Canis lupus familiaris: one gene and its partner. The protein of the gene in region 2 interacts with the protein of the main gene of each other region in a pairwise test. Links are inferred from orthologs where the notes say so. Each region holds a gene or a part of one and is shown on either strand. Other genes may lie near its edges.

The links.
Region 1: the proteins of FKBP1B (region 2) and RYR2 interact in binary tests that used the Homo sapiens proteins (3 or more experiments, as listed by UniProt). The link is inferred for Canis lupus familiaris from reciprocal best matches to the Homo sapiens genes FKBP1B and RYR2.

What each region holds. Positions count from the first base shown.
Region 1 is NC_049225.1:3,463,448-3,479,229, forward strand, and holds the start of RYR2 (ryanodine receptor 2), read right to left. Parts: upstream 7,217-15,782; 5' UTR 7,148-7,216; coding exon 7,100-7,147; intron 1-7,099. UniProt on the Homo sapiens protein: Cytosolic calcium-activated calcium channel that mediates the release of Ca(2+) from the sarcoplasmic reticulum into the cytosol and thereby plays a key role in triggering cardiac muscle contraction. Aberrant channel activation can lead to cardiac arrhythmia.
Region 2 is NC_049238.1:18,595,652-18,610,813, reverse strand, and holds FKBP1B (peptidyl-prolyl cis-trans isomerase FKBP1B), read right to left. Parts: upstream 14,860-15,162; 5' UTR 14,734-14,859; coding exon 14,697-14,733; intron 10,754-14,696; coding exon 10,706-10,753; intron 6,468-10,705; coding exon 6,355-6,467; intron 5,267-6,354; coding exon of another isoform or gene 5,222-5,266; coding exon 5,093-5,221; 3' UTR 4,616-5,092; downstream 1-4,615. Other genes in the region: SF3B6 (splicing factor 3B subunit 6), read left to right, coding at 585-723, 886-975. UniProt on the Homo sapiens protein: Has the potential to contribute to the immunosuppressive and toxic effects of FK506 and rapamycin. PPIases accelerate the folding of proteins. It catalyzes the cis-trans isomerization of proline imidic peptide bonds in oligopeptides.

The DNA of each region.
Region 1 (15,782 bases), on a different chromosome or scaffold from region 2:
CTCAGTGTCTCTCTTGGGCAGCCCCAATCACTCAGACTTCCTAAAGCCTTCATTTACTCTTTCTCTCCTTAGGTCACTTGTCTTAATAACTTCCCTCTCTCAGATGTTCTTCACATGCCTGGCACTAGCTGCCCTCCCCAGCTGGCCCAGGGTCCCCTGCAGCCCTCACACAGCCAACCAAGCCAGCCTGTCTCATCCCCACACCTCCTCTCTCCTCCTCTCAAGCCTAACCACCTACCTCCTACTCTCCTGCCTCTAGGAGGGATCTCACTAACACTCTTTCGCCCACACCCTTTGCCTACTTCCTTCATCACAGATTCCTTCTTTCTGCACTTGAACACATTCACATGGTTTTCACATTTAATTGAGGGAGTAGGGGGCGGGGGGTAACCTTTCTCTTATCCTGGTCTTCCATCACCATACTACTCCCCTCAAACCTATCCTTGTAGGCAATGCTGTGCTATGCATCATGGGAAATGAATGCCTCCCCCCACACCAACACGGTGGCAACCCTCCCACAGAGCATCAGGGGACCCAAATCAGGGCCGTGGATAAGTGATAAAATGTGTGGAACTGGGGCGCTTGAGAAATGGTCTCAGAGAGGTAAAATCAGAACTGGTTGGAGCAATCCAAAAGCTCCAGCAGGATGGGGAACGTAAGTAAGGTTATCAAAAATCAGATTACAGATGGTCATGAGCCAAGCAGAGGGGTTACAATGGATAAGACAGGAATAGGGAACCAAGGAGTGGTGGCATGAACATGGGGTTTTAGGAGGATTCAAATGGCAGGAGGCTTCAAGGCACTTTGCTAGTGGCTGGTTGGGGCCGAGGGACGATGGAGGTCAGAACAAGTAATGGGGTATGAAAGAAATCAAAATCTGAGCTAGAGGCCAAGGAAAACAGCACAGGAGAAGATGCCAAATGAGCTACAGGAGGAGGATAAAGGAGCTCAAGCAATGCATGGAGTATCTACCATGAGGCAGACACTGGAATTGGTTTTCCACACAAATTCTATCCCATGATCTTCAAAAGTCCTTCTGAAATGCCTAATATTATATTTAGGGTGTAAGAAAAATGTTTAAATTTTTCTCAAGTACATAAGCTAGGTACTGGTGGAGAAAGGCCTCAGACCTAGGTCTTCTTTTTTCTTTTTTTTTTTTTTTTAATTTTTATTTATGATAGTCACACACACAGAGAGAGAGAGAGGCAGAGACACAGGCAGAGGGAGAAGCAGGCCCTATGCACCGGGAGCCTGATGTGGGATTCGATCCCGGGTCTCCAGGATCGCGCCCTGGGCCAAAGGCAGGCGCCAAACCGCTGCGCCACCCAGGGATCCCAGACCCAGGGCTTCTAAAGATGAGGGCCACACTGGTGTGTTTGGGCCAGAGCCTAAAATGGCAGTGCCATTGACCAACACAGAGTCACCGGGATGAAGAGCCACTCAGGGGACTGAGTACCCGTGAGCTCAGGATGGTGTATCCACAGGTAGGAAGGGAGTCAAAACAAAGGCCGCCAACAGCTAGAAATAAGGGGCTGAGGACTATAAGATCTGTGGTGGGTGTCTCCCATAGGAAGGAAGGACTTCGAGAAAGTTCCTATAATTTCTCTGGCTCTCAGAGAAATTATAGGATGGGTGAGGTCATCATGACATCTTCTCAAACTCTCATTCCAAGGATCCCAAGCTTTGCGGCACAGATGAGCTCACAAAGGCAGAAGAGACAGAACGGGAAATGGGAGAGGATCTTTGGGGATAAGCAATCTTGGAGCAAAAGAAGTAAAAAGAATTCCAAGAAGCATGAACAGGAAAGTATAAAAATGACTCCAAATGTGCCAGGCTTGGCAATCACAAGCAGGGGTGGAGACCACACTGGGAAGAGCTGAGCAGCTGAAGGAGGCACTGGGGTCAAACACAGAAATTGTGAGGTAGGAGAAATGACTGTGCTTCAAGATCAACCAAGGGACCAGTACTGAGGGAGGCAAAGAGAGGATGGAACACGTTCTGCGAGTGTCCAGTCCTGGACCCGGAGGCAAGCCCTGGGGTCTAGGACGCTAAGAAGCTGCAACTTTCGAGAAGGAAAGAAGCTTCCTGGTCAATGGCTGGGAAGACAGAGCAGATTTGGACAGTGAACCCTGGGAAGGGGAAGATAAGGATAAAATGGGACAGTGGGTTTGAATCTACCCCATAAGGAAGAATGGGGTGTTGCGAGTGACCTTCCTGACAGTTCTTCAGAGATTCTTCATGCCTCCTGTGTTACTCCATGCCATGGACTGAATGTCTGCATCCCCTAAAAGTCATACACTGAAATGCGAACTCCCAGTGGGGTGCTACTAGGAAGTGGGGCCTTTAGGAGGTCAGTAGGTCAAGAGGCCGGGACCCTTACGAAACAGAATTAGTGCCCTTATAAGAAGAAACACAGGAGAGATGATTTTTGTCTTTCAGCAATATGAGGATACAAGAAGATGGCCATCTGCAAGCCAGGAAGAAGTCACACAATGCATCTGCCACCACCCTGATCCTGGACTCCCTGACCTCCAGGACAATGACAAATAAATGTTTGCTGTTTAGGCCACCAAGCTATGTATGGTATTAGCAGTGTGACCAAGACAGCCGCGAATCTGGAGTATGACACTTGGGCCAAAGCATCTTGGCTCTCTGCGCTTGAGTTTCCTTACCTGCAAAATGATGGGCGGGGAGGGAGACAGAGGTAGACGAGGTGGCATTCTCTAAAGGTCTCTTTTTACCCTAATGTCCTAGAATTTTTACATGTGTTTTGTCCTCCTGATTGTTCCATGCCAGCCCCTAAACCTTTTCTTTGCGACTATAATTGCAAACCACAACTCTCCTTCTTTTGGATTCTTCCTTAACACCAAATATCACACCATGCATACAGAAGGTGTTCAACAAACGTTTTTCTGAATTCATCGAATTTCCAGAATGTCACAGTTTCAGAAGGCAAATGTGTGTTTACGTGCCTCTTCCTCTCTCCAAGGGTTATCTACGGAGGCACAGTCCCCAGAAGTTGCAATCTTTGCTCAGCTAGCTCAGCCTTGATAGAAACACTTATCTAAAGCCCAAGTATAAGTAAGACTGAATGTCAAATAAATCAGTGCCCTAATTGTTTGAGTCTGCCCTTCCCACGAATGTGTACACACCAATTTTTAAGTAAAAAAAAAGTCTGATTATGTAAGCGTGGGTGTGCTTTCCATCAATTCCTTGAAAAAAACACCACAGTGCATATCTATCTAAAGCTCCTCCTCACGCCTTCATTATCAAGGGAGCAAAAGGTGGAAATTCCCACAGCTCACTCAGAGTCTTTTCCTTTGTACTCCTACAGCTGACAAAAGTGATTAGGTATCCTGTTTGCTGTAAAGCTAAAACATTCTTGAAAGGCTGAGAAGCAGCCCTTCTCTCCTGGAAAGGACACAAGCCTAGGACCTGAGTTTTAATCTTACTTCCACACGGTTGAGTCTCTGACTTTGTACAATTAACCTTCCTGTACCTTTACAAACAAGGTTAAATATTCCGGCCCAATCTATTTTACACTGTTGTGCATGGCATTTATACTTTATGATGCTTACTATTAGTTGCTGACTGCTTTCTAAAATGCTCTGTATCATTATCAGCAAGATGTACACACACTGTGAAAAAATCTACAGTTTGTTCTGCAAAGGAAGGCCGGAGGGAAGCTAAAGCATTCCCATCAGCATGATTTTTGCAGCCCCTGATAATCCAGTTTTCAATCTCAATCTATGCCTAAGTACAAAAACTAGATGACAAAGTGTACACCAAGAGTAACTCAACTTGTCTACACAAATAAAAGAAAGTTTCTTGGAAAAATCGACCTGGGCCCAACGTCATTTTACATCGTGGTTCTCTTAAGGATTCCTATAAAATTTTGTAAGGTTTCTTGAAAAAGAGAGATCATAAGTAAGAACATCCATGGTTTTAAATACCAAATTACAGTTCGCTGACACACAAGTTAATGAAAAAAACTTTTTTTGAAAATTTTAAAATAAAATCAACCACACATTCCAAATCATGGGCATGCTGAGATATGACAGTGAACATATCCATTATGGGCTAAGGGCTCATTTTATGATCGGATTATGTCCCAGCACATCCAGAATTTACACGTCCACATTCTCAATTCCTCTAAAAGATAAACACATCAGAGTGGGAATGCTTCCAGCTGGTGGGGGAGCCCGAGTCAAAGCTGTCTCATCTACATAAGCACTTGAAAGGAAGGAATAGCAGCAAACTCACAACTGCATAATGGAAAAGAAAAGAGATGGGAGAGGGTCTGGCACGGACTAACCAGTGACAAAATTCCCCTTCACAAATGAAGAATTAATTCACAGCAGTGGACATAACTCATGGACATAGTTCATTAAAGATTTCACCTCTGGAAAAAAAAAAAAGATTTCACCTCTGCTTCCTTTAACAGGGATCACAAACCTCTTCTAGAAAAAGAAGGAAAAAAGCTTTCTGTAGCCAGGATGTCAAGGATGCGTCAATGAGCTACAGTGCAAAACTCCAAGATGATACTTAAGGTGCTCTAATCAGATGTATGAAATGATCACTCAGCTTCACAATTAAGGTCTCCTAATGTCTGTTTTTCTTTTTTTAAAAATACAATGGCTTCATTTATAACTTAAAACTATTTTATCTAACATGGAGATTGTTAATACTCCCTGGACAATTTGCTTTGAAAACAAAAAAAGAAAAGAAGTAATTCACAATGACGGGACTGCAAGATTGCACACTACAAAACAAAAACAAGAACACTCCAGAAAAAATAAAAACGAGATTAATTTATTGTAAGAACTACATTCTCTCTGTTACTAATTCCATTTACCAATTCTGAGCCATTCACATTCTCAGGTTAAGAAAACAGAATGGAAAGCAACAAGGGCAGGAGGCAGAGGAGCTGGTAAAGGATCTGAGTGTTTCCAGATAAAACTGCCAAACTTAGAGGAAAAAACATGTTTTCCTTTGAGATGTTCAGCTATACTCAAAAAAATTCCCCTGCTCCACTATGCCACTTCCTTCAAGGTCATTTATTATCAGCACAACCTACGGATGTTTTACTAAAAGAAAAATCCCAGCCTAGGACTGCCAGATCTCTACACAGGACCCACTTATCAAAGGTGTTGTTCAGGCTGACAGACAGCTGTTGAGTGGCACAGACCTAACATTACTTTATATGTGCAGAACCCCATCAGCAAGCACATTACCCTGGTCTCTGTTAAGTATTCTGATAACACCACCTCCACCAGGTTTGGCTGAACATTTGAGCCTGCAGGAAGCCCTTGAGTGCATGAAGCCTTCCAAAATTCTCTAGCTGATTTTAACCCTATAGAGTTTGGGGGTAGGGAAACTGAATTTAAAAATTATACAGCAACTAAATATTTTGTCCACCTGAACAAAAGATCCCACGGTTTGGAGAAACATATTTTCATGCGCCCCTGATTTTTTTTAAACCTTATAGAAGTTTTTCACTTAAAAAAAATTCTTATTACTAGTAGGGTTATGACATTCCCCATGAGCAAGGTTTTAGCATACAGGCTCTTCAGAGCTGGATCTTGGGCTAGTAGTACTTGGAACAGCATATGTAATGGTGCATAACATGCAGCCAGAGTTCAGATCATTCCCCATCGGAGGCGGACCCTGGATTTTTGTCCTTTCCAAAGGCTTTCTTCTGCCCACCCCACCCCCCCAGATGTTAAGTGAAAATGAATACCTTTGAAAAAATCAGAGGAGCAAAAAGAAAAAAACGGTCACTTACAATGTTTTGGACAAATTCACCATTTTCACTTGTTCAGCTCCCAAATACATTATCTACACTATTTTACCCCTAAAAGTTACTATCTGGTAAGATTTCAAAATTCATAATTGTCGTCACCATGGAGGCAATTGGGAAATGATCTCTTTTGCACTGTTTAGTAAAGAAGTGGCAGCAGAAGCTGCAGTCCTCGCGCGGGGGTGGGGGGAATCCGGGAAGGAAGTATCTTTCCGAGCGAGGAAACAAGTGCAGGAGAAGGAACGACGGAAAGGATGCTGCAAATGCTAACTCGGTTCTTCTTAACAGGAAGTCACAGCATTTTCTTTTGCCAAGAGGCTCGGCCCCAGCTCTGAGGTGAGCGACGCCTCGGCCTGGGAAGTATCTGCAGCGTCCGAGCAAACCGGCAAGAGGAGGAGCAGGGCCAAGAGGTGCTTGCGGAGAGAACATCGTATTCCTGTGGAACCCACCCTCCCCTGCCGCCCCCCGTGCGGACACTCGGGGCCGCTGCCCCGCCTGCCCTTACACACGCACGCACGCACGCGCTCTGCTGCACAAGGCGTGCAACAAGCCAGCCTTCAGGGGACACGTTCACGACGTGCCCGCCGCCCCCGCGCGCACGCACACTGCACACACCCACGTCCACACGCGCAGACACACACTCCGTCTCCCCGCGGTCGCGGCACCACGGCCCCGGCGCCGCTGGGGGCTGCCCCCGCCCTCCGCAGCCGCCCACCGGGGAGCCGGGGCCGCGTCCCGCACCCCTCGGGGCCCGCCCGCCCCGCGCGCTCCCCGCCAAGCAGGCGAGTCCCGGGGCTGCCAGACCGACGCGGGCTGAGCCCGCGAGCCCGGGGACCGCGCCGAGGCGGGATTCCCGGGGCAGCGCGCGTCCCCGCCGGCCCCGAGCCCCGCGGCCCACGCGGTCCGCACCCGCGCCCCCGAGGACACCGGGGAGGCGCCAGCCCCGCCGCGGGTCAGGCCGCACGGCGCCCCCTCCTCCGGGCTCCGCGGCTCCCGGGTCCCCCGCCGGCCCCCCGCGCCCCGGGGCCCAGGCTGCGCGCCTCCCGCCCGCTCCGTCCCCGGCGCCCCCCCGCGCACCGACACGCTCCCTCCCCTCCCCGCTCCCCGCTCCCCGCTCCCCGCTCCCCGCTCCCCTCCAGGCGCCCCCGCCCGGCGTCGCCGGAGCCCCGGGCAGCCCGCCCCCCGCCCGCCCCCGCGGCCGCCGCCGCTCCACCCAGCCCCGGCAGGGCGCCGCGCCGGTGCTCCGTCCCCGGGGCCAGCGGGGTGCGGGGTGCGGGGTGCGGGGTGCGCGCCGCTTACAGTTCGCAGGAACTGGATCTCGTCCTCGCCCTCGCCCCCATCGGCCATGGCTCCGCGCCTTGTCGCCGGGGCTGGCTCCCGAGCGCCGCGGAGCCCGGTGGCGGCCCCTCGCGCTGCCTCCCGCCGCCGCCGCCGCGCTGCCCCGAGCCGGGGGCGGAGGGGGCCGCGGCTGCCGGGGGCGAGCGCCGGGCGGTCCCCGCCTGCAGAGCGGGGGAGGAGGCGCGGGCGGGGCGGCCGCGGCAGGAGCCTCGGTGCGCCGCACCGCGCGGGAGGAGGGCGCCCCCGCAGCCCAGCCGCGCCGGCCCGGGCTCCCTGCCTGCCGCGGCGGACCGCTCGGCCCCGGCTCCCGCCAGCGAGTGCGCGGCGCCCGCGGAGCCCGGGCTGGTGGCGCGGCGGGGGCGGGGCGGGCGGGGGCGCGGGGAGGAGCTCGCCGGCTCCCCTCTGCGGCAGGTAGTCCGCAGCCCCGCGCTCGGGCGCGCCGAAGCCGAGGCCCAGCGCCGCTTACCGGCTGCGCGGGGTACGGAGCCGAGGGGAGCCGAGGGGAGCCGCCGCCTGCCCCCGCGCCGGCCCGCAGCTCCTCCCACCCGGCCTCCCGCTCCCGCTGCGCCCTCGGGCGAAGCGTCCACCCGCGGGGGCCGCGGCTCTCGGGCGCCCAGTGCCGCGGACTCCGGAGGGCAGCCAGAGCCGTCCCTCACCCGGAGCGGGTCACCTCGAATCAAGTTCCCCGCCACGCGGCTCTCTGAACTTGGATTTCCTCTACTCCTGACCCACCGAGCATCCTGCAGCGTCTGGCCTCCGCGTGCCGCGCCTTGCGCTGGTCATCGCTGCTCGGGGCCCGGGGCTCGGTGCTCGGTGCCCGGTGCTCGGTGCTCGGTGCCCGGTGCCCGGTGCCCGGTGCTCGGTGCTCGGTGCGCAGAACTTTTAACAAATGCGTTCCGCGAATAGCCGGTGAGTCCCTGCGCCGGACACCTGTGGTCCAAGACAGACAGACAAGAGAGTTTGATTAGAAGTGCAAACTTCAAATCAACGACGAATTGCAATAAAGAAGGGGTAAAATACATTTGAATCGCCGAGGAGCGACACCAGGAATCTTCTGGTACCGGTTATCCTCACCAGGAAGTCGTTTATTTCTGAAGAAATTCGGGCTTCCTACCATGAATAACAATATCTGTGTCGTCCACCACGCCGCGCTTGACAAATGGCTGTGATTAACAAAATGCAGGGCCTGAGACAATTTGGACAAGAAAGCACTAATCTCTTGTTTCTAGTCTACAGCTCTTTCGCTTAAGATACTCAACGATAAGTATATGCAAAGCAAAGTTCCAAATGTCAACCCCACAAAGATGAAGAAACTGTAGAATGAAGGTTTAGCATCAGCTTACCTATTTTACACGTTTTGACGCATCTAATTAGTTCCTAAAATCTACCCGTGTGTTCTATGCAGCATACATTTTACTTGCTGCTTTCATCAACTTTATACTTGCTCTGTGAATTTTGCATATTTCCGGTAGAATTAATACCAAAAACAATGTACTATAAATACTTCCCTCCCTGGTAAGGCTAGTAATGCTCTGTTCTATTTAATGATACTAGTCCTCTTACCTAAGTACCGGACATATTCTTGGATAGTGATCCATGACACCTAAATTAGTAAACCGTTACAATTCACGTGAATTTTTACTCCTAGGAACCTCTAAATGAGCAATCAGAGTTCTCACAAAAGATCAGAGTCTTCCATGAGGGACGACAGTATTCTGAAATGGGCTCATAATTTTGTTAAATAATTTGATCTTCCAAATTTATGACATATCAGATTGAGCTTTTCTGTATTTTATGCAGAACCACACAGACATAGTTTCTTAACTGTGTAAAGCAAACATACGTAATGTATGTATGTTTGAGAATTACTCCATTCTACCCATACAGTGGGTAACATATAAAAACTCTAGTTTACTAGTTTTTCGTTTTGGCATATTAGGTAAGCTACACATTTTTCTAACAAGAGTCATATTTATGATTTATTTAATTCTCTCAACATCGGTGATAAAATGCTAAATGGCCTGAGTACTCAATATTCACCATATAATAATTCTTCAACAGCAAACAGAGCAGAGGATTTTTGTAAAACATACCATTTATGTAGACTTCAACACAAAAAATACACTACTATGAGGTTTATAGATCTCTAACCTGCACTAAAAGTTTAAAAACATGTTGGAGAATGATACATCACACTATTTATTTTTAAAAGAACTGAAGGAAATACAGCAAATGGTGAGTATGTGAGTGTGATATTATTTTTGGTACTCTGATATGTTTTCTATATTTCATAAGTATAAAAATTGAGGTAATTTTTTATAAGAAAACTATTAGAGTTACTAAGAGCTATGGGGGTTTTTTGCTTACAGTATTTTTAATAACTGTTTTGACACATGAAAAGATGCTCAACATCACTCATCATCAGGGAAATACAAATCAAAACTACAATGTGATATCACCTCACATCTGTCAGAATGGCTAAAATCAACAACGTAAGAAACAACAGGTGTTGGCACGAAGGTGAAGAAAGGGGAACCCTCATGCACTGTTGCTGGGAGTGTAACCTGGTATAGGCACTCTGAAAAACAGTATGGAGTTTCCATAAAAAGTTAAAAATAGAACTAACCTGTGATCCAGCAATTATGGTATTAAGTATCTACCCAAAGAATATAAAAATACTAATTCAAAGGGATACATGTTCCCCAATGTTTGTATCAGCATCATCTACAATAGCCAAATTATGGAAACAGCCCAAAGAAGATGTGGTATGTACACATGCACACAAACACACACAGAGGAATATTATTATTCAGCCACAAAAAATAATGAAATCTTCCCTTTGTAATGCCATAGATGGAGCTAGGGAGTATTATGCTATGCAAATAAGTCAGTCATAGACGAATACCATATGATTTCATTCACATGTGGAACTTAAGAAACAAAATAAGTGATCATCAGGAAAAAGAGAGGGAGAGAGAGAGGCAAACCAAGAAACAGACTCTTATCTAGAGAACAAACTGATGATTCCCAGAGGGGAGGTGGGTGGGGGATAGGGGGAAATTGGTGATGAGGGTTAAGGAGGGTACTTGTCATTATGAGCACAGGGTGATGTAGGGAAGTGTTGAATCACTAAATTGTACACGTGGAACTAACATAACACTGTATGATAACCAACTGGAATTTAAATAAAAACTTTTTTAAAAATCTGATTGTTTTAGTTTGTTTAGTTCATGTATGATTTCCTAGTTTCTTCTGGTGAACAACCATAGAAAATTGGTTTTGACTGAAAATATCATAGAACAATAGGATGAAAACTAATCTCCATTTGAAATATAATTTTAATTGAGAAAAAGAAATCGTTTTGGTTACAGCTTAAAGTTTATGTTCAGTGTCTTTATTATTTTTTTAGAGAGAGAGAAAGCAAGCACATGTTGGGGGCAGGGAAGGGGCAGGCAGAGAGTGAAGGAGAGAGAACCTTTAAGCAGGCTCCATGCTCAACTCAGAGCCCAATGCCAGGCTTGATCTCAGGATCCCAAGAGCATGACCTGAACAGAAATCAAGAATCAAGACACTTAACTGACTGAACCACCCAGGTGCCCCTCAATGTCTTTAATTCTTATGGTATACTTAAGCTATAAGGAGTTGGCAAATACATATTTTCACAGCTACATAACTATAGTTCATAAAATAGAAAAAAATTATATTTAGAATTTTCATAAGCATCCACTCTTAATATCTCTGTTTTTTATATTTCTTATAAAAATGTTTCTTTTTTACTGTGTGCATATTACATATAATAGTTTATTTTGCTTTTTTGTTACTGAAATTTGTCATCTTAATTGAAATCTTTGTACTCTATAGAAACATATGTGTTTCCTATAATATCTCATTTTAGGACTTCATTAATTATAATAAATAATAATTTAGAGAATGGTATTTCCATGCATTTTAGTCCAAATCTGGAAAGTGTTTTATGACCAATGTTATATCCTGCAAGTGATGGAAAAAATATATTTCTTTTTTTATTTTCAATTAGAATTTTTCTATGGTCAACTAATTCAAAGTGGCCACTGTTCACTTGGCAGGACTCTAGACAGCCTTAAAGAAGAAAACATTAACACAGAATAAGATATTTCATTTATGCTTACAATTTACTAATCTCACCAATGATGTATATAAGCATTAGAAAAAATAACTTCTTGCTGAAGATTTCTACAGAAAATGAGCTAAAATACTCAGTGTTATCATTTTAATTTGGCTTCTTTCAGTTAAGATCACCTAAGTTAAAGACCCTAATGCTGAGGTGAAAGCATCTGGAATTGTCATTAGATCCTTATAAAATGCAGGACTGGAAAGGCCCCAGTATCTGGAGATTAAGCCCATTGCTTATCAACTCAGATTTTCTTTCTTTTTTTTTTTTTTTTAAGATTTTGTTTATTTATTCATGAGAGACATAGAGAGAGAGAGAGAGGCAGAGACAGGCAGAGGGAGAAGCAGGCTCCATGCAAGGAGCCCGATGTGGGACTTGATCCTAGGACTCCAGGATCACACCCTGGGCCGAAGGCAGGTACCAAACCGCTGAGCCATCCAGGGATCCCCTCAACTCAGATTTCAATTTCAATACCTGAGGAAGGTTTCACAGCATTTATTCTTATCATGTTCTAGAAGTTCACAAGCCAATATTTTAGAAAATGTCCATTTTATTTCCATCTTTATTATGTGTGTCCCTAAAATAGTAGAGTTCTGATGTGGACCTGAACTAAAAATAAACTCCAGCAGATCCTCGGAGGGCATAGCCTGAATCTCTGGGGCTGCATTAATGCAAGGTGGTCAGGAATGGCGTCAGAATGATGATGGTAATGATGATGGTGATAGTGGTGATGATGGTGATGGCAATGATGATGGTGATGGCAATGATGATGGTGGTGATGATGGTGATGGTGATGATGATAGTGGTGATAAAGGCTCATATACTGAGCATTTACTGTGCTCCAGGGACTAAATTTTTATTGCCTTTCCCATCTTTACAGGAATGCCATTGTAGAGAGAAAGGGACCAAGGTTTGTAGAAGCTAAATGAAGACTGAGATTACACAGCTGCTGAGTGGTGAGACCAGGGTCAGAGGTCTCTAGACCTGAGCAATTTGTCACTATTTCATGCTATTGGCCTTCCCCCATCCCAGCATAGAAAGCAAAAGAAAAGTCTGAACTAACACAAACTAAAAAAAGGCTCTGGCAGCTCCAGGAGATTTATTCCTGATTTCAAGCCAATCGTAGGGGTCCTGCTAACTCATAGAATGCCAGATGAGGCTCTGGAGAAGGAAGCAGGGATTATTATGTGATCAGAAATAAAATCCAACTTATCCTCTATAGTTTGGGTTCTTAAGGGAAATCAACTTTTCAAGGTTTGAAAGTTATCATCACTATCTTATCTGTTCCCTAAATTGAGCTAAAAATTGTGAAATCTGGGATCCCTGGGTGGCGCAGCGGTTTGGCGCCTGCCTTTGGCCCAGGGCGCGATCCTGGAGACCCAGGATCGGATCCCACGTCGGGCTCCCGGTGCATGGAGCCTGCTTCTCCCTCTGCCTGTGTCTCTGCCTCTCTCTCTCTCTCTCTCTCTCTCTCTCTCTGTGACTATCATGAATAAATAAATAAAATCTTTAAAAAAAAAAAAATCCTGTCTTTAAAAAAAAAAAAAAAAAATTGTGAAATCTCAGACTATAATTAGCATTCAGGTATCCAGGATCAGGACAGAACTGCATATAGATGATAAAAATGAACATGATCTATCTCTTGGAGTCAGCAGTGCCCTTGACATCACAGAGACGTCTGACCCTACCTTACTAAAACTTTGCTAATTAATCTTTTATTTTTTAGTGAAAAAGGTGTTCCTGAGGAGGTATGGGCTCCCCAGAGACATTGCCCCCGCAAATTGCTCAGTGCCTTGACAAGTTGGTCATCATGGCTGTCACATACTCCGCAAGGTAGACCTTCCTGGTCTGCCTAGGTCTATTGTACCATGACTAGGATCCAAAAGCTAAACACCTGCTTCAGTTTGTCCCTATTATAGACCAAATGTTTGTGGCCCCCTACAATTCACTGAACACACTGAAGCCTAACCCCTGATGTGATGGTAGGTAGGTGGGGCCTTTGGGAGGTAAGTTTGGATCAGGTTATGAGAGTGGGGGCCCCTCCCAATGGGATTAATGCCTGTATAAGAAGACGAGACCAGGGATCCCTGGGTGGCGCAGCGGTTTGGCGCCTGCCTTTGGCCCAGGGCGCGATCCTGGAGACCCGGGATCGAATCCCACGTCGGGCTCCCGGTGCATGGAGCCTGCTTCTCCCTCTGCCTGTGTCTCTGCCTCTCTCTCTCTCTCTCTCTCTCTCTCTCTCTGCCTCTCATGAATAAATAAGATCTTAAAAAAAAAAAGAAGAAGAAGAAGACGAGACCAATAAAAGAGGCCCTGTGAGCACACAGTGAACTGGCAGCTGCCTACAAGCCAAAAGAGGCCTCAGAGTGAGACTTTGGGAGCACATCCAGAACCTTGAGAAATAAAATTCTATTGCTTAAGCTGCCTACCCAGTTAGTGGGATTTTGTTAAGGCAGCCAGAGCAGACTAAGACACTCCCTGATCTTCACCCCCAACATCAGTGTCCTTTCATGGGTAAAAGACATATTCCTGATTCTGTCTTTATGTCCCCAATTATTTCACTAATTTTGTAACTAGCCTTCTTGGGTTTTGCTCTTTTCTACCATGAACCATCTTCCAGACTCCACCAAAATAACCTCCTACAACAATATTTTCAACGAGTCCCTGCCCTGCACAGTAAGAATTGAAGCCATTGAAGAATGACTCCCAAACACCTACCATATTACGTTCAAACCCCTCAGCCTGGCATTTGAGACCTTCTACAATAAAGCCTTTCACATTCCTTTCAATATTTACTTTCAAGTACTCTTTTGTGTTGGCTCCAAACCAAGTGACTGTCTCTCAGATAAAATGCAGGCATTAACCAACCATGTCTTTTTTTTTTCTCTCTCTTTTTTCTGCCACCTAGGGCCACAAAATCTTATCAAAATCTCTTTTATCCTCCAAGGAGTAATTCAAAGCCCACTTCTGGGCTTTGGTTTACTCTGACAAGAAATGCTAACCCCCTTCTGAGAATCATGGCCCTTCATCCCATATTGCCCTGGATTTTAGCTACGTATCTAAGAATAGTATCCCCCAAATGCATTAACAACCACCTAGAGGCTCTATTTTTTTTTTATTATACTCATTCTTCATAAGTAGTTGTTAAAAATCTCTTCTCAGGGCACCTGGGTGGTTCAGTTGGTTAAGGATCCAACTCTTCATTTCTGATCAAGTCATCATCTCAGGGTCAGGGATCTCAGGATCTCCGCACTGAGTGTGGAGCCTCCTTAAGAGTCTCTCTTCCTCAGGATGCCTGGATGGCTCAGCTGGTTAAGCATCTGTTTTCAGCTCAGTTCATGATCCCCAGGTCATGGGATCCAGGTCCCTGTTGGTCTCCCTGCTCAGCAGGAAGTCAGCTTGTCCCTCTCCCTCTCCCTCTGCACCCCCCCCCCAAAGAATCTTTTCTCTCCATGGTCATAGACAACTAGTCACCTCTTTGTACACAATTCTCCAGCTTCGTTTTTCTTTTAAAAAATTCCAGTTTGAAATACCATTCTTCTTTTCTAGCACCTCCCCTACATGGAAATCATTAAGGAATTGCAAGGGACTAACCACCTTGATATGCTCAAAATGCCAAAATAACCTAGAAGCCTTTGTGAATATAGAATCTTTCCTAAAATAGGACCAATCTCCCTAATGTCTTCCAAGTTTTCATATAATAACATAACACATGAGCAGGTTCTTTGAACTCATTCTTCATTTATTCATTCATTTAACAAATACTTACTGTACCGGGTCTGGTCCTAGTGGATAAAGCACAAGGCCCATGCTCATTGGGTTTATTCTAGGGGAGGAGACAGACATAAGTAAATAAATCTGTATGTCAGGGGCATTCAATGCTGTGAAGAAATATAAATCAAGATAAAGAGATAGAGAGTGACCAAAGGGACCATTTTGCAGATAATACGGTCAGGGAAGGCTAATGTAGTCACATGGCAGGGACTTGAATCAAGTGAAGGAATGAGCCTCATGGCTATCTGAAGAAGAGCATTCCACGCACAGGGTTTGGCGTGTGTAAAAGCTTTTTGGTGAGCTGGCATGTTTGTAGGACAGCAAGAAGGGCCATGTAGTGTGCAGAGCAAGGAAGTGGGAGGATGGTGGGCAATGAGGCCAGGGAGACAGTGAACATGGAACATCTCCTTCCCCATTACAAGAGGGAACAACCACCATTTTTTTTTTTTTTTTTTTCAGGAAAAGGCCCCAGTATGCTCAGTATGGTTTAAAATAGGCCCAGTGGCTATGCACTTTAACATCTAACTGGAATCTCCATGTTCTATGCATGTCAAATTCCTGAGTATTAGGAATCATCCATCTGAGTACAAATTCTCTTTATCTGTTGAATTTTGCTAGGAGGTACAACTTGATGGATTATTATATGCATTTATTGTTATACCAAGGCACCCTGCATTCTGCTACCTTTGATGTTGACTTGGTGAATGGCTAAAATAAAGG
Region 2 (15,162 bases):
TATCCAGCATACCTATCCATAATGCTTACTTATTTCCTCTAACAGTGTTCAGGTTGATCTCAAAATATAAACTTCACTTACTGTCTTTTAAAGACAATACTGTTATTTAACTATCAGTGCTCTGGTAAATGTGTATTTTTTTCCACAGATTTGTTAGTAGTTTATTTATAAAGAGAAACTATTCCATAGCTCAGCATTCATAGTTCAGGAACACAGGTCAGGGACAAATTTCCATGGAACTCAATCCAAAGAAATTCTTTACATTCCAAAATCACTTTGCATTCTGGAAGATACCAGCCTTTTCATCTCCTCAAACTCTTTCATGGAATCATTTCTGTAGAAATCTGCATATCCTCCTTTCTTGGTTTGACCACAGGAAACTTCTAGAAACCTGCAACCCTCAGGGAATGCTCCAATAATATGAAATCGCAGATGCTTGGCCAGAAGGCCTCACATCTGAGGTTTCATCAAAGCACTGGAGGTCATGGTAGTTATTCTCCTCAACACTCAACCTCAAACCCAGCCAGCATCCTTCCTATCTTGAATAAATGTGTATTTTAATTAAGTCTTATTTCACTCCGCAGGGGGAACACACCTGAAACTAGAGGAACAGCTTATGTGGTCTATGAAGACATCTTTGATGCCAAGAATGCATGTGATCACCTTTCAGGATTCAATGTTTGTAACAGATACCTGGTGGTTTTGTACTATAATGCCAACAGGGTAAGTATTAGCCACAGTCCTCATTGCAGGGGGAGCATGTTAAGAATTAATATACCGGAAAAGGAAGAGTATACTAGGAATTCTTGTCTGGCTAGTGCTATTGGTAAAATTCATTTGATTATAGATCAGTAACTGTTAACTTTGGTGCTTACCACATTTCAGGCATTTCAGAAGATGGACACAAAGAAGAAGGAAGAACAGTTGAAGCTTCTCAAGGAGAAATATGGCATCAACACAGATCCACCAAAATAAATATTTTCTGCATTTTCATTTTAGACTACATCCCATAAATGACTACCATCACCCTTTTCTTGTTTTTAATTAATGCTGAATGTTGTGATTTCTTATTCAAGATTCAAAAGGACCTACTTAAAACTTTGATACATTTTAAAATATGTTATGTGAATAAACTTGTAGCTTTTTGTAAAACTTGTAGCTTTTGTAAAACATGTCAGTGTTTTCTCTTAAGCTTCCTCTCATTTGATACCGGAAAACAAATTAGCAGTCGAACTGTATCAAGAATTGTTTGGTGGTAGTGACGCCTGGGTGGCTCAGTGGTTGAGCATCTGCCTTCGGCTCAGGGTATGATCCTGGAGTCCCAGGATTGAGTCCCACCTTGGGCTACCTGCATGGAGCCTGCTTCTCCCTCTACCTATGTCTCAGCCTCTCTCTCTCTCTCTCTCTCTCTGTCTGTCTCTCATCAATAAACAAAAGTACAATCTTTAAAAAAAAAAATTGGTGGTAGGTGGTCACAGAGACCATGCTTCTTAAGAGCAGGGAACTTTTTATATTCTTAATGCCTCTGATGTCCAGTTTAGTGCTTAGCCATCAAGGGAAATTTTTAGAGTGCTATCATTTGTTGAATGTTAACAACTCAGTGAAGGTATTTTGCAGATAAGGAAACCAAAGCTCATTGTATTGGTTGGATGAATAAAATGTTTACATAAAAAGTTGATGTAACATCAACCAGTATTAACCACATCAATATATTTAAATAATAATTGCCTTACAGTTAACAAAACACCTTTGTCAATATGAATACCCCATCCTTAAAATAGAAGTCAGTTCTAGAAGTGGCCATTCAGATGACAGCACATTGTTAGAAATTTGAGAGCATGCTTCTTGGGTAGTGGTGGAAGTTGTTACAAGTCTAAGATTGGATTATGCAGTCTTTTCCTTTAGGTAATAAGTGTCTATGGATATCTTGGTCCTTAGCTCATAGTATATCTTTGCCCTAAATAGAATATTTAATGCTAAAAAAATTTTTAAAAAGAATATTTAATGCTTATTCTTATAATCATACGCTCCCATGGCATTGAAATAGTATGGTTATTACCACATTCATCATAGCCTGGCAGCTTGGAGGAGATAGCTATAATTTTCTTTTTATAGTTTAGGCATGGGCCAAATGGAAAAAACATGGACCAATTGTTTTGTATATAACTATAACCCAAAATCAATTTGAAGGGTACAACCACTGAATCATTTAAATGGACAAAAAACATCTGTTCTACTATTTAAATGCTAGCTTTGATATCTATGCTTGCTTTATTTTTTTTATGCTTACTTTAAAATAATATGCTATTTTATACTTTTTGTACTGTCTTCTCAAAGCCTGCTATTGAAAATGAAGAACTTCTTTATTATGTCCATGCTTTTTGAAAGCACTGTAAGACTAGAAAGAACTATTTCTAAGAAGGGCAAGGAGATAATAAAGGAGCCATAGCTTTTTCTTCTGAATGCTTTTATGAATTCCTTATTAATTTGTGTAATTCATGCTGTGCCTTTAGGTATTTACCAATGTAAAACTAATTTTCTAAAAGACTTTTTTTGTAAGAGGAAAACAGACTTCTAGTGTGTTTTGTCTAAGTGGCAGACTGGCTTGCTCTAGTGCAGTTGTTTTAAGTTAATAACAAGGGGAAATTGCTTCCACTGACAATTATGACCAGTCCCATCATTTGGATTAGTACATCTGTTAGCTGAATTTCATGACCTAAGGCTGAGTTTTAAAAATTTCAATTGTCTGGGGCGCCTGGGTGGCGCAATTGGCTGAGTGTCCAACTCTTGGTTTCCAACTAGGTCATGCATGATCTCAGGGTCGTGAGACTAAGACCCATGTTGGGCTTGGCTCTCAGCATGGAGTCTGCTTAAGTTTTTCTCTCCCTCTTCCTCTGCCCCTCCCTGGTGCACATGTGTGCACAAGCGCACTCTCTCAAATCTTTTAAAATATTTTAAACATTAAAAAATTCCAATTTGGGGGCACCTGACTGGCTCAGTAGAGCATGCAACTCCATCTCAGGGTTGTAAATCTGAGCCCCACACTGGGTGTAGAAACTACTTAAAATCTTTAAAGATTCTAATTGGCAATTTTGTGGCCTGTTACACTTAAGTTATAAGAACTTGAATTCTGGAGGATCCCTGGATGGCTCAGGATAGCGCCTGCCTTTGCCTTCAGCCCCATGTGTGATCCTGGAGTCCTGGGGCTGAGTTCCATACCGGGCTCCCTGCATGGAGCCTGCTTCTCCCTCTGCCTGTGTCTCTGCCTCTCTGTGTGTGTCTCTCATGAATAAATAAATAAAATCTTTTAGAAAAATAAAAATTAAAAGAAAAAGCACTTCCAATTCTCATTTCTTTTCCTCCATCTTGAAGCAGAGGAATATGGCCAGGACTTTCTGGAGACAAAGGGAGTAGATAAGTAGCCAAGATGTTATGGATGCTCATTTCTTTTCCTCCATCTTGAAGCACTACTCCTTAACTCCTCAGCAGAGGAATATGGCCAGGACTTTCTGGAGACAAAGGGAGTAGATAAGTAGCCAAGATGTTATGGACGCATATCATATGTATGACATAGGACATGTACCAATGAATCTATGTGGGAAACTAAGTACTAACCTACCAGCCTCTCCTCAATCTTAATTTCAAATCCTCACTGATAGAATAACCCTATGACTAAGAGCTTTTCTCACTTATGTCAAAAGAAAAATCTTAGCCACATTGCCCCGGACTCCTCTGACAAACACACAACCAGTAAGTGGGCTGATTTTAAAACCTAACTGAGGGGGATGGCTGGGTGGCTCAGCAGTTGGGCTTCTACCTTTGGCTCAGAGTGTGATCCTGGAGTCCCGGGATCGAGTCCCACATTGGGCTCCCTGCATGGAGTCTGCTTCTCCCTCTGCCTATGTCTCTGCCTCTGTGTGTGTGTGTCTCTCATGAATAAATAAATAAAATCTTAAAAATAAATTATAATAATAAAAACCTAACTGGGAATTCCCATAAGTTACAGTAAATATAGATGAAAATAAGCAGTATATGCATAAACAAGTTCAGAATCATACATTCTTTTCAGAAATCATACCCCAGTGTAAGAGCAAATCTAGATGAAACTAAGTAGTAAATATAAAAACAAACTCAGAATCACACATTCTTTTCAAAAGTAACTTCCCAGTGTGAGTTAGTATATGGCTCCAAGACCTAACCCACTTCATTTGTCCAGGCACAGTGTTCCTTTCCTTCTGGGCGAGGTGAAGGAACTTGTCCCTCTTAAGTCCAAACAAAGAGAGACTGCAAGGTCACATACAGTGCTCAAGTCCTATGTTGGGTTGCTAGGCTATGAGGTTTGAACACAATATATTCCTTCAGTTATTCAGAGGAGAATTCTGAGCCTATGAGGCAAAGGGCAAGTTAATACCTTGTAGGGCTGCTTAGGGGGTTGGTGGCAATTTTATTTAAAAACACGTTGAACAAGGCCCAGCATGTACAAAATTCACATCATAGCTATTATGTTTATTATCATTCCTGGCTATTTGGAAGGCTCCTTTCTACTCCTTCCCAAGGGCAACTGGTTTATGCAGTCCTTAAAGCACTTCCTTCCTATAATAAGGATGGACAGGAATTTGTCAAGCACAGAGCCTTTATTTTACATATCATTTCCAAAGAGGACATTGTGTAAGTCAGCAGCCAACAGAATTTGTAAGAGAGAAAGTGACAGCAAAGGTAACTGGCTCAAGTCCCTCTGTGTATACCATGTACATTTCACGTCTGAGCACCTTGTGTGTCTGGCTTAAGTAAGGCAGTGTAGATTGTGCGAACAAGAAATCTGTATTCTGTGATCAGAAATGGCTACTACATGCATCACGCAAAATGCACAACCTGAAATGTTTTGATCTGCAACCAAAGTTTCCTCAAGCAAAGATGTGCGTAAACGATGAACACATACAGAGCAACTTGGTCAGAGAATGGATGATGCTGTGGGGCAGTGACGTTAGCGCACTGATCAAGAGCCCCAAGCAGGAGGAGCCGTCCCAGTGGCAGAGCAGGCTGGGAGGGTGAGTAGCAGCCATCTCCAGCCACCTTGCGTTCTTTCCTGCCTTCACTCTAGGTTGAGCAGCTCCACGTCAAAGATGAGGGTGGCATTGGGAGGGATGACACCAGGGTGGCCCGTGGCTCCATACGCCACATCGGGGGTGCAGGTCAGCTTCGCCCTCTGCCCCAAGCTCATCTAGCAGGGATGGGGGCAGATGGGAAGAGGAGAAAGAGGACCCAGCTTGATTTAAAAGAAAAAAGTAAGATAACTATGGCATTTTCCCAAACCATCCTCAAGGTAACTCTGAAGATCTGAGATGAATTTTCTATGTTCACTTCATACTGAAGTGATGCAGAACTCAGATTCTGCCTCAGACCAGCAGAGACTTCACTGTAGGACAATAACATCCACAAAGTAGTCCCAAATTCATTCATGCAACGACCATTGCTGGTTATTCAATTAGCGCATGGCCCCAACACTTCGATTTGTTCATTATTGTTCCTGACTCTCTTCCAAAAGAACCTAAAGAGGGTGTATAGAGAGCGCATGTACTGTACACTTTCCAGGAGGTAACAAGAGCAGTCCATTAAAGACATGAAGCAATCAGAGGCCATCACAAGGTCGGGAAGGCTAAGAGAGCTACTCTAACAGAGCATGGTCTGTCCTCAGAGACCAAGGGAGAAGAGCATGAACCAGGGCTCATCCCAGCAGTCATCAACAACACCTGGCGCTTGTGGGACAACTGGTGAGATTTGAATAAACCGATTTTTAAATTTTGAATAATAACCAACTCAAAAATTTGAATGGATCACTTGATAGTACTGTATCCATGTTAATGTGCAACTGATCACAAATTAATGTAACCTGATCATTGTACTATGGTTATGTAAAATGTTAACATTTGGGGAAACTGGGTAAAGAATATATGGGAACTATTTCCGTGATATTTTTGCAAGTCTGAAATTGTTGGTTTTTTTTTTTTTTTAAGTTAAAAACAAACAAAAAAAACCACCTTGGCCTCCCCCATCCCAAGTCTCCTGCTGCGTCAGTCCCAGACAGCTGGTAGCTCACAGCCCTCTGAAGCTAGTTTTGAGCAGGCCTGGAGGGATGTGCATGGAATGAGAGACCCCAGTGACTTAAAGGGGTCATGCTGGCAATGAAAGGGAAGGGGTGGGGGGCACAAAGCCAAGGACTGAATCTCGATGGTGTAACCATGCCCCGGCAGTGGAGTCAAAGTGGCAGCGGTCTGTGATAGGTCAAGAGCAGCGTACCGAGTCCGGACTCTTGACTCCTCAAATCCCCCCTAATGATTAGAATTCCCATCCTACCTGGGCTGCACCCTCTTCAAAACCCTTGATGACTTCCTGTTTGCCAATTCTGAACTTGAAAGGTTTGTTTCTGTCTCTGGATGAATCAAATTTCTTCCCATTTTGGAGCATTCCTGTGAAAGCAAGAAGAGGATGGAGAAGAGCTGTGGTCATGAATTAACTCCCAGGTCTGGGTCCACATGTCTAAAATGGAATTTCTGTTCCGCACAAACCAGTGCCTCTTCTCATCTCTCCACCAGTTCTGTTGCCCAAGCAAGCAACCCGGATACTTCTCTCTGCCTTACCCCACATAGAGCCTATCACTAAATCCTTCATCATCTCTCTACCTCCTCCATTTCTACTGCCACTGGCCTGTGACTGTACCATGTCACCATCATGTCTCACCTGCATAAGGAACGCCCTCTAACTGGTCTTTCTACTTCACTCTCACTCCTCCATTCCAGTCTCCACACTATACCCAGAATGACTGTCTTTTACAAACATATATAGGATATTACTCCCTTGCTTACAATACGTCAATAGCTCCCTGTGGCAGCTTCCAAATGCCTACACTGTACTTCAAGACCTGGAGACTGCCTGCCTGATAACCTCTCTCTGCTCTCCCTTGCCTTTCCTTCCCACCATGTCCTATTCAGGTCACACCTTTCTCAAATACCTCTGCACTGTACAACCTTTACTGGTTTTCACAAGGTCCCCCAACATATAAAACCCAAAGGCCTTATCACCCCTCCTGCAAAGAACAGAGCGAAGTGACCCAGTCATTGGTGGACCCCAGGAAAAGGGCCGGTTTGAACCAGAAACACTGATGCTGTCTCCAACAGTAGGGACCATCCCTGAGCTTCCAGGGGTAGTTGCTTTGTCATCTCTGAAGTACAAATCCTGTGTTATCCTTGCCGCCTAAGGCTCAAGAGCTGTGTTTCTGTTTTTAGTTCTTATTGGTGATTGGCTCAAAGATCAGACCTTCTGTAAACAATGGTCTTCCAAATATTTCTCCCTGCAGCCCTCAGACCACAACAAAAGGCAGTTTGAGACCACAGAAAGATCTGGCCTATAGATTGGATTCTGACTTCATTCTGGCACAAAGTCATTGTGTAAAGTTAGGCAAATCACTTCCTTTGTCATGGCCTCAGATTTGCCATGTTTAACATGGGAGGTCTGGATAAGCTTAGTGTCTGAGCATCTCTGACTCCACTTCCTAATTCCTACCATTTAAATGTATATAAGGGAGAGTCTCATTTTCTTGCTTTCTGGGTATAATGAATTGGACTCTTGCCCTAGGTATGAAATCAAGCAAAGGAGAAAATCCTGTGGCTACACAGATGGATACTAAAGAGATCAAATACAAACTCATGCACAAATACAGGTTGCTAAGATATTCAGACACACAGAGATACTCACGGGCACTTATGCACACACATTCAGAAGAAAAATCCTAATGGTGAAACAGATGCTAAGAAAATATTTAAGTCCACGAATCTACATCCATTCACACAGACACATACTTGGACAAATACACACATATGGATAAGCACACACACACACTCCCTTTGAAGAGTGGCTTTCTCATTCCTCAATTTTTTCAGGTTTCATATGACTCAATATACTTCAGACCATATACAGTTATCTACTGCTACAAGTTCAGCCAAAACCATGCAGCCCAGAAACAGACCCACATATATATGGTTACCTGATTCAACAAAGGTGTCACAGCATTGCAACAGATAAAGGATTTCTTTTTTAAGATTTTACTTATTTATTCATGAGAGACACAGAGAGAGAGAGAGAGAGAGAGAGGCAGAGACATAGGCAGAGGGAGAAGTAGGCTCCTCACAGGGAGCCCGATGTGGGACTTGATCCCAGGACTCTGGTATCACACCCTGAGCCAAAGGCAGACACTCAACTGCTGAGCCATCAAGGCATCCCAGGATGATTTCTTTTTTTTTAATTAATGTTGCTGGGTCAATTGCATATCCATATGGAGAAAAAAAAATGAATCTTGACCCCTATTTTATGCACACACAAAAATCGATTCCAGAGGAATCACAGACTTAAATATGAAAAATAAAATAATAAAGCTTTACAAGATAATAAACAGAAGAATGTCTTCATGATCTAGGGACAGACAAAGATTTCTGAGCTGAACACAAAAGTACTAACTATAAGGGAAAAGATCGATACATAAGACTTCATTAAAATTAAGAACTTCTATTAAAAAAATGCCATTAATAGAGTAAAAAGACAAGCCCTGGCATGGAAAGTGATTAGAATCAGTACAGCTGGGATCCCTGGGTGGCGCAGCGGTTTGGCGCCTGCCTTCGGCCCAGGGCGCGATCCTGGAGACCCGGGATCGAATCCCACGTTGGGCTCCCTGCATGGAGCCTGCTTCTCCCCCTGCCTATGTCTCTGCCTCTCTCTCTCTGTGACTATCATAAATAAATAAAAATTAAAAAAAAAAAGAAAATATATTAAAAAAAAAAAAAAGAATCAGTACAGCTAACAAAAGACTCATATCCAGAATATATAAAGAATTCCTGGGGTGGCTGGGTGGCTCAGTTGGCTAAGTGGTTACACATCTGACTCCTGATTTCTGCTCAGGTCATGATCACAGTCATGATCTCAGGTCGTGATCTCAGGTGAGACTGAGCCCTGGGTCAGGCTCTGCTCTGGGTGTGAAGCCTGTTTTTAAGATTCTCTCTCTTCCTCTTCCCTTGCCCTTTCCTCCTCCTCCCCTGTCTCTCTCCCAAATAAATAAATAAATCTTAAAAAAAAAAAAAAAAAAACCACTCTCACTGACATAATATTGAGTAAAGTAAGACAAACCCAGAAGAATACATACTCTATGAGTCCACTTATATGATATTTAATAACAGGCCAAGCCAATCAATGGAGACAAAAATGTGACTGCTGGTTACCTTCAGGGAGGTGTAATGACTTGGGGGAGGCATGAGGGAGATGCCTGCAGGTTCTGGAAGTGTGTTGATCTGGGTGGTAGTTACAGAAGTGTAATCACTTTGAAAAATTTCATGGAACTGGACATCTTGGATTTCTGTTCTCTACTGTATTTATATTTAATTTAAAAATTTACCAAAAAGTCCCATACTGTCTCTGGCTGGGTTTGATGAGATGATCCCCCTCCCCAAACCAGAGGCACTCATGGCTCTTAGTGTTTAACGCACATTGCCTGCTCTCTGTATCTACTATGAAAGTCTTTGTAAAAGGGTGTTGTGGTTTTAGTAACTTGATAAGTACGAGTCTGTCTACAACATGTAGAACAGATAAATCAATTACACAGGTCAGAGGCCCCAGAGGACTCATGGTAATTAGGCCACATCACCGGGAGATAAAACAGCTCTAGCGCCCTGACGTCAGCGACCCGCAACACAGCTGTTGAGAAATACCCACACTGTCTGCCTAGATTTAACCTGGCACTTCACACTGGCCCAGAGAACTGCTAAAAATGGCCCCATCTGAATACGTCCTAGGAATTAAACTGGCCTTGCTGTCTGCTAAGTGGCTGTCACCAACTTTGCCACATTGGGAAACAGGTCACAAGGCAGAGCACTCGCCCCTCTTGGAACAAATACCTGCTCGTGATCTTCCTGCCAGCAGTCCTCAGGAACTCCAACTAGAATGTTCCTCAGCCCACCTGATCTTCCAATACAGAGCATCCAAGAGGGATCAGCGAGATGTGGGCCCTCCTCCAATGCCCACAGTACCCTGAGACAGGCACTGCTGTCACCACCACCCGCCCTGGCTCTCACACTGCATCAGAGCCTCTGGATCACTGGTCTCCCCCACTTCTCATAGCCCCAAAGAAGGAAGGAATCCTCTCTATTCATCTGTGTATCTCCAGTGCCCAGCATAGCATCTTGCACACAGTAGGTGCTCAAAAATAGTAGGAGAATTGGATAGTCTATTTTTGAAAAAAGAAAAGAAATGCTGAGGAGACCAGGGGCCTCCTCTTCTCTAATAATATTGTAGGAGTAAAAAGGAGTCCGCAGGGAAGATCAAGTCTCTCAAAGCTTTAAGAAGGGATTTCTAAATATCAGACAGAACCAGGAAGGCCGGGCTCCATGCTGCCCACAACAGAGGGAAGAGAATGGAGGTGGCTGGCTCAGTTAGAGGCTAGCTCCAAGGATGGTACAAGTGTGGAAGGGGTAATCTTGCAAGCCTCCTTTCCCATGCCCACAAGACTGACTTGAGAAGTGGGGGACAGCCGGTCAGAGGGAGACTTGGCTCTCTTAGGGTTTGGGCCTGATCCAGGGAGCAAATATCTCTGGAGGGGAGTATCAGAAGAGGGACCTCTTTGGGAGGGGGAGGTCTGGGTGAAGTCTGAGGGAGCAAAGCCTACCTGTGTAGTGCACCACACACGTCTGTCCCTTCTTGGGGAATGTCCTTCCTGCAAGGAGACATGAGGGCAGATGAATGAATAACGTATTGGAAAAAGTCACCTGGGACATTCAGCCCAGAGGTCTGGCCCACATTCCCCTCCACACCAAGGAGATGCCCATGGTGCTAGTTCTGGCTCTGTGCCTTGTATGAGCCAGATCAGTCACTTCACCTCTCTTTATGTGATTTGAATTTTATTCCCTTGGGTTCCTCAATTCCACTCTCTCCTCATTATTCTCCTTTCTTTGATTGCTCCTTTTGCTTTCCTTCATCCATTCCACAAACATTTACTGGACTAGATTCCAGAAACAGAGCAATCTATGAACTCATGGTGAAGTCAGGGAAAGAGACACATAAATAAATGATAGATTATAATGCAGGATAATGACTGCAATCAAGGATTAATAAGCATACTCATTCACAAATATTTACAGAGTACCTACTATATATAAAGCCTGGGCCTAACTTCAGGGCTACAGTAGTAAACCAAACAGACAAGATACCTACTCCTTTGGAGTTACATTCTAATAGAGGGAAACAAACAGGACTCAAATAAACAAGACAGTTATAAATTATAATAATTCTCTAAAGGAAATAGACACAATGACAAGTTAAAGAGAGACACACAATGAGGGCGCCCGGAGGATCCCTGGGTGGCGCAGCGGTTTGGCGCCTGCCTTTGGCCCAGGGCGCGATCCTGGAGACCCGGGATCGAATCCCACGTCGGGCTCCCGGTGCATGGAGCCTGCTTCTCCCTCTGCCTGTGTCTCTGCCTCTCTCTCTCTCTCTCTCTGTGTGACTATCATGAATAAATAAATAAAATCTTTAAAAAAAAAAAAAAATGAGGGCGCCCGGGAGGCTCAGTTGGTTAAGCATCTGCCTTGGGCTCAGGTCATGATCCCGGGTCCTGAGATTGAGTCCCACATCATCAGGCTCTCTGCTCATCGGGGAGTCTGCTTCTCCCTCTGCCATCCCCAACCCCCACTCCACCCCATGCGCTCACACTCATGCTCTCTCTCTCTCTCTCTGTCAAATAAATAAATTAAGTCTTTAAAAAGAGAGAATAAGGGAGAGAGACACAATGGACAGACCACTTTAGAAAGGACCATCCAGGATGGCCTCCAAAAAAAAAGGTGACATTTGGGCTGGATCTTGAAGGATGAGCAAAATGCTGGGAAAAGCACTGCAGGAAGAGGCAGCTGCAAGTGCATAGACCTTGAGGTAGGAATGGATTGGAGCATTTGCAGAATAGAAAGAAGAAAGCTGGGTGACTGGAAAGAAGGGAGGGAGAAGGAGACAAGTAGGAAAGAGCAGGATCATGCAGATCATGCCAGACATTGGACATCGTGGAGCTAGATTTAACTCCAAGCGCAATAGGAAGGCACTGGAGAGTTTTAAGCAAAAGGATGACATAATCTGAATTAAGATTTTATAAGATCACTCTGGCTGCTGCCTGTAGGATGGACGATTAGGCGCCTGTTGCAATAATCCAGACAGGAAATCAATTATGGCTTGAATTAACGTGGTGGCAGCAGAGAAGAGAGCAAAATAGATACGTTTGGGAAACGGGGCTGACAGAGTACACTAATGGAACGGAGATGGGGTCCAGGAGGAGGGACAAGGAGAAATCAAGTACAATGCTTGGGTTTTCAGTTTGGGCAATTGGACGTATGGTGGAACGAACTAATTCCAGGTGGGGAAGACTGGGGAGGAGCAGATTTGAGCAGTTGGCAGTCTTGAAATGCCTATTAGACATCTGAGTTTATATTGCAAGTAGGCAGATGGAGGGTCTGCACTGGAGGTATAAATCTGGGTGGAATTTAAAGCCACAGGCCTGGATAACAAATCTTTGGGAGGCAAACAAGTGAGCCAACATGTAGAGGACTCTGTGGGAGTCCAGGAAAGCATCAGAGAGGAGATAAGGTTAAACCAGATCTTAAGAGATGACTAGTTTGCCAGAGGAAGTTAAAGGAGATAATCTGGGAAGAACTGATGACACATTCAAAGGCCTGGAGTCTAGCACTAGTGGGATCCCTGTCTGGCTCACTGCTGTTAACCCCAGGGCCTAGCACATAGTACATGTTCAATAAATATTTGCGGAATGATTGATGTGTTTTAACAACTTTGCAGGAAGCTTGCTGAAGCTACAGAAAAAGGTGGTAGTGGGGGTAGGGGCTGTAGTAAGAGACTGCCCTAGTGTGGAAGGTAAGACCAGGCTAGATTACTATCTGTCTGAGAAGAAAATGGAAGATTCATTAAAGCACAAGGCACGGGGATAAGGTAAGAGGGGAGCAGAAGGGAATGGGAACCTAAAATAGGCATTTTAAAGACTCCTCAGGCTATGGTGTGGAAAATAGGTAGTGAGTTAGGGAGGCCAGATGGAAGGCAGAGAGGTCAGACTGGATGTGTGGAGACCAATGTAGAGGATGTGCAGAAAGCCTGATGAGAGACCATCATCTGAACCAGGGCAGGGGCTAAACGGATGTAGCCTAGAGAATTTCAGCAGAAGGACCAAGTCCTACCAGACTTGCTGCGGGGCTTCACTTAGAATGGTGCCCCCAGCCTAACAATACAGTAGCTTGGCCCTTCTATGCCTTCTTGACTCAAGGGTTTAGACTGTTAAAGCAGAAGGCCAAAGTTTTTTCAGGCTTTCTCGAAAAATCTAATCTCCCTCAAAAGAAAATGGCCCTTGTCCTTGGCCAGAAAGGGAGGATAAGCAGAGAAAACTCTAAAGGCTACTTTGAGTCAGGGGAAAAGAGAAGAGGCCTCCAGCTCCCTGGGAGATCTCAATGGCAATTTCCCTGGGGTGTGACAAGGTCTCAGAGAGATGCTTCCTGGGACCCAGCACTATTGTTCTCAGTGGGGGCAAAGAAGCCTGTACCTGCAGGGTGACAGGGATCGGGACTGGGACCTCTAGGGACCACTGCCTTTTAACAAGGAGGGTGGCCTAGAACCAAGAGGTCTTCCAATTTCCTAGAGAGGGTGGGGGTTGTCAGACATGTCTCACATGAAGTTTGTCTGTCAAATTCTGCAGAAACGGGGGCTCTGGACTGGATTAAGTGTCATTTAAAATTTTTTAAAATAAGCTATTCCTTGCACATCCAGACCCAATTATACAAGAGATGTCTGGCTGGGGAAAGTGAGTGGTGCCGCTCCTGACGGGGGGGGGGGGGGGGGGGGGGGGGGGGCAGGGAAAAGGGAAATACAGAGGAGTGCTTGGGCGTGGGGAGGACAAGGAGCTCGAGTTGTTTTGGACTCGCTGAATTAGGTTTCCATGGGACATCCAGGTAGAGGTCGAGCAGCAGCTGGATAAATGGGTCGGAGATCTGGGCTGGAGGCTTAAGTTTGGAGGCCATCGGTTTGCAGACGGTAATGAAAGCCATGGGAGTGTACAGGATGGCTGGAGAGGCGGAGTGGGGCGGGGAGGATAAAGCAGGATGCAGAGGCGGCGGAGGGAGCGCTTCTTCCTCGCAGACGGGCTCGGTCCCCCCACAACGTCTCCCCGCCCAGCCCACGGGGGCCGCGGGAGCCGAGGCCCTCAGGGGGGCGCGTTGGAAACGGGTTGCCCCAAGAAGGGAACCCTTCCAGCGGTCCCCGGAGCTCACCTAGCAGGGCAGGGAGAGCAGAGCCAAACCCCTGCCCTGGGAAATTAGCAGCGGCAGACAACTGAGGGGCTCCCGCGGCGGCGGCGGCGCCCGAGGCCCCCGGGGCGGTGGCGGGCCCAGACCCCCGCCTGCGGCCGCCGCCTCCGACGCCCTAGGTGAGCCGGCGCGGGGAGGGGGGCGGAGGGTCGTCGGCCAGAGCTCCGACAGTGCAGTCTGGGGTCTCCCCCGCCGCCCCACCCTGCGCCCGCCCCCGCGTCCTCACCCTCCGCGCCACCTCCGACCCAGACCCCCGCCCGCCCGGCTCCGCCCCGGGACCCTTCCTCCTCCCCCGGCTCCGCCGCCCGGTACCGTCTCCCGGGGAGATGGTCTCGATCTCCACGCCCATCGCAGTCCCACTGGCCCCGCCTCTGAGGGTCCCGGCTGCTGCCCCGACCCCGGCTCGGCTGCGGCTCCGGCTCCGGCCCCGGCCCCGGCCCCGCTGGCGCTCCGGCTCGCCTCCCCGCCGCCACTGCAGAGCCGGAGGAGGTGCGGCGGGAGTCGGGACCTGCGCGGGGAGGGGCCACGGGGAAGGGGGCGGCGGGGCGGAGCGGGGCGGCGCGGAAAGGTGGGGTCGGCTGGGGCGGGGCCCGGGGAAGGGACCCCGGCGCCGCGGCTCCCGGGCCTGGCCGGGCCGACCGTCGTTCACGGGGGTGGGGGGGGACGGAGGGGGAGGCAGAGACCCCCGCGCATCTACGCACCCGCCGGTGCAGCCACCCCTCTATGCATCCGCTCATCACAGATTTATCTAGCATCTACTCTGTGCTAAGCTCTGGGG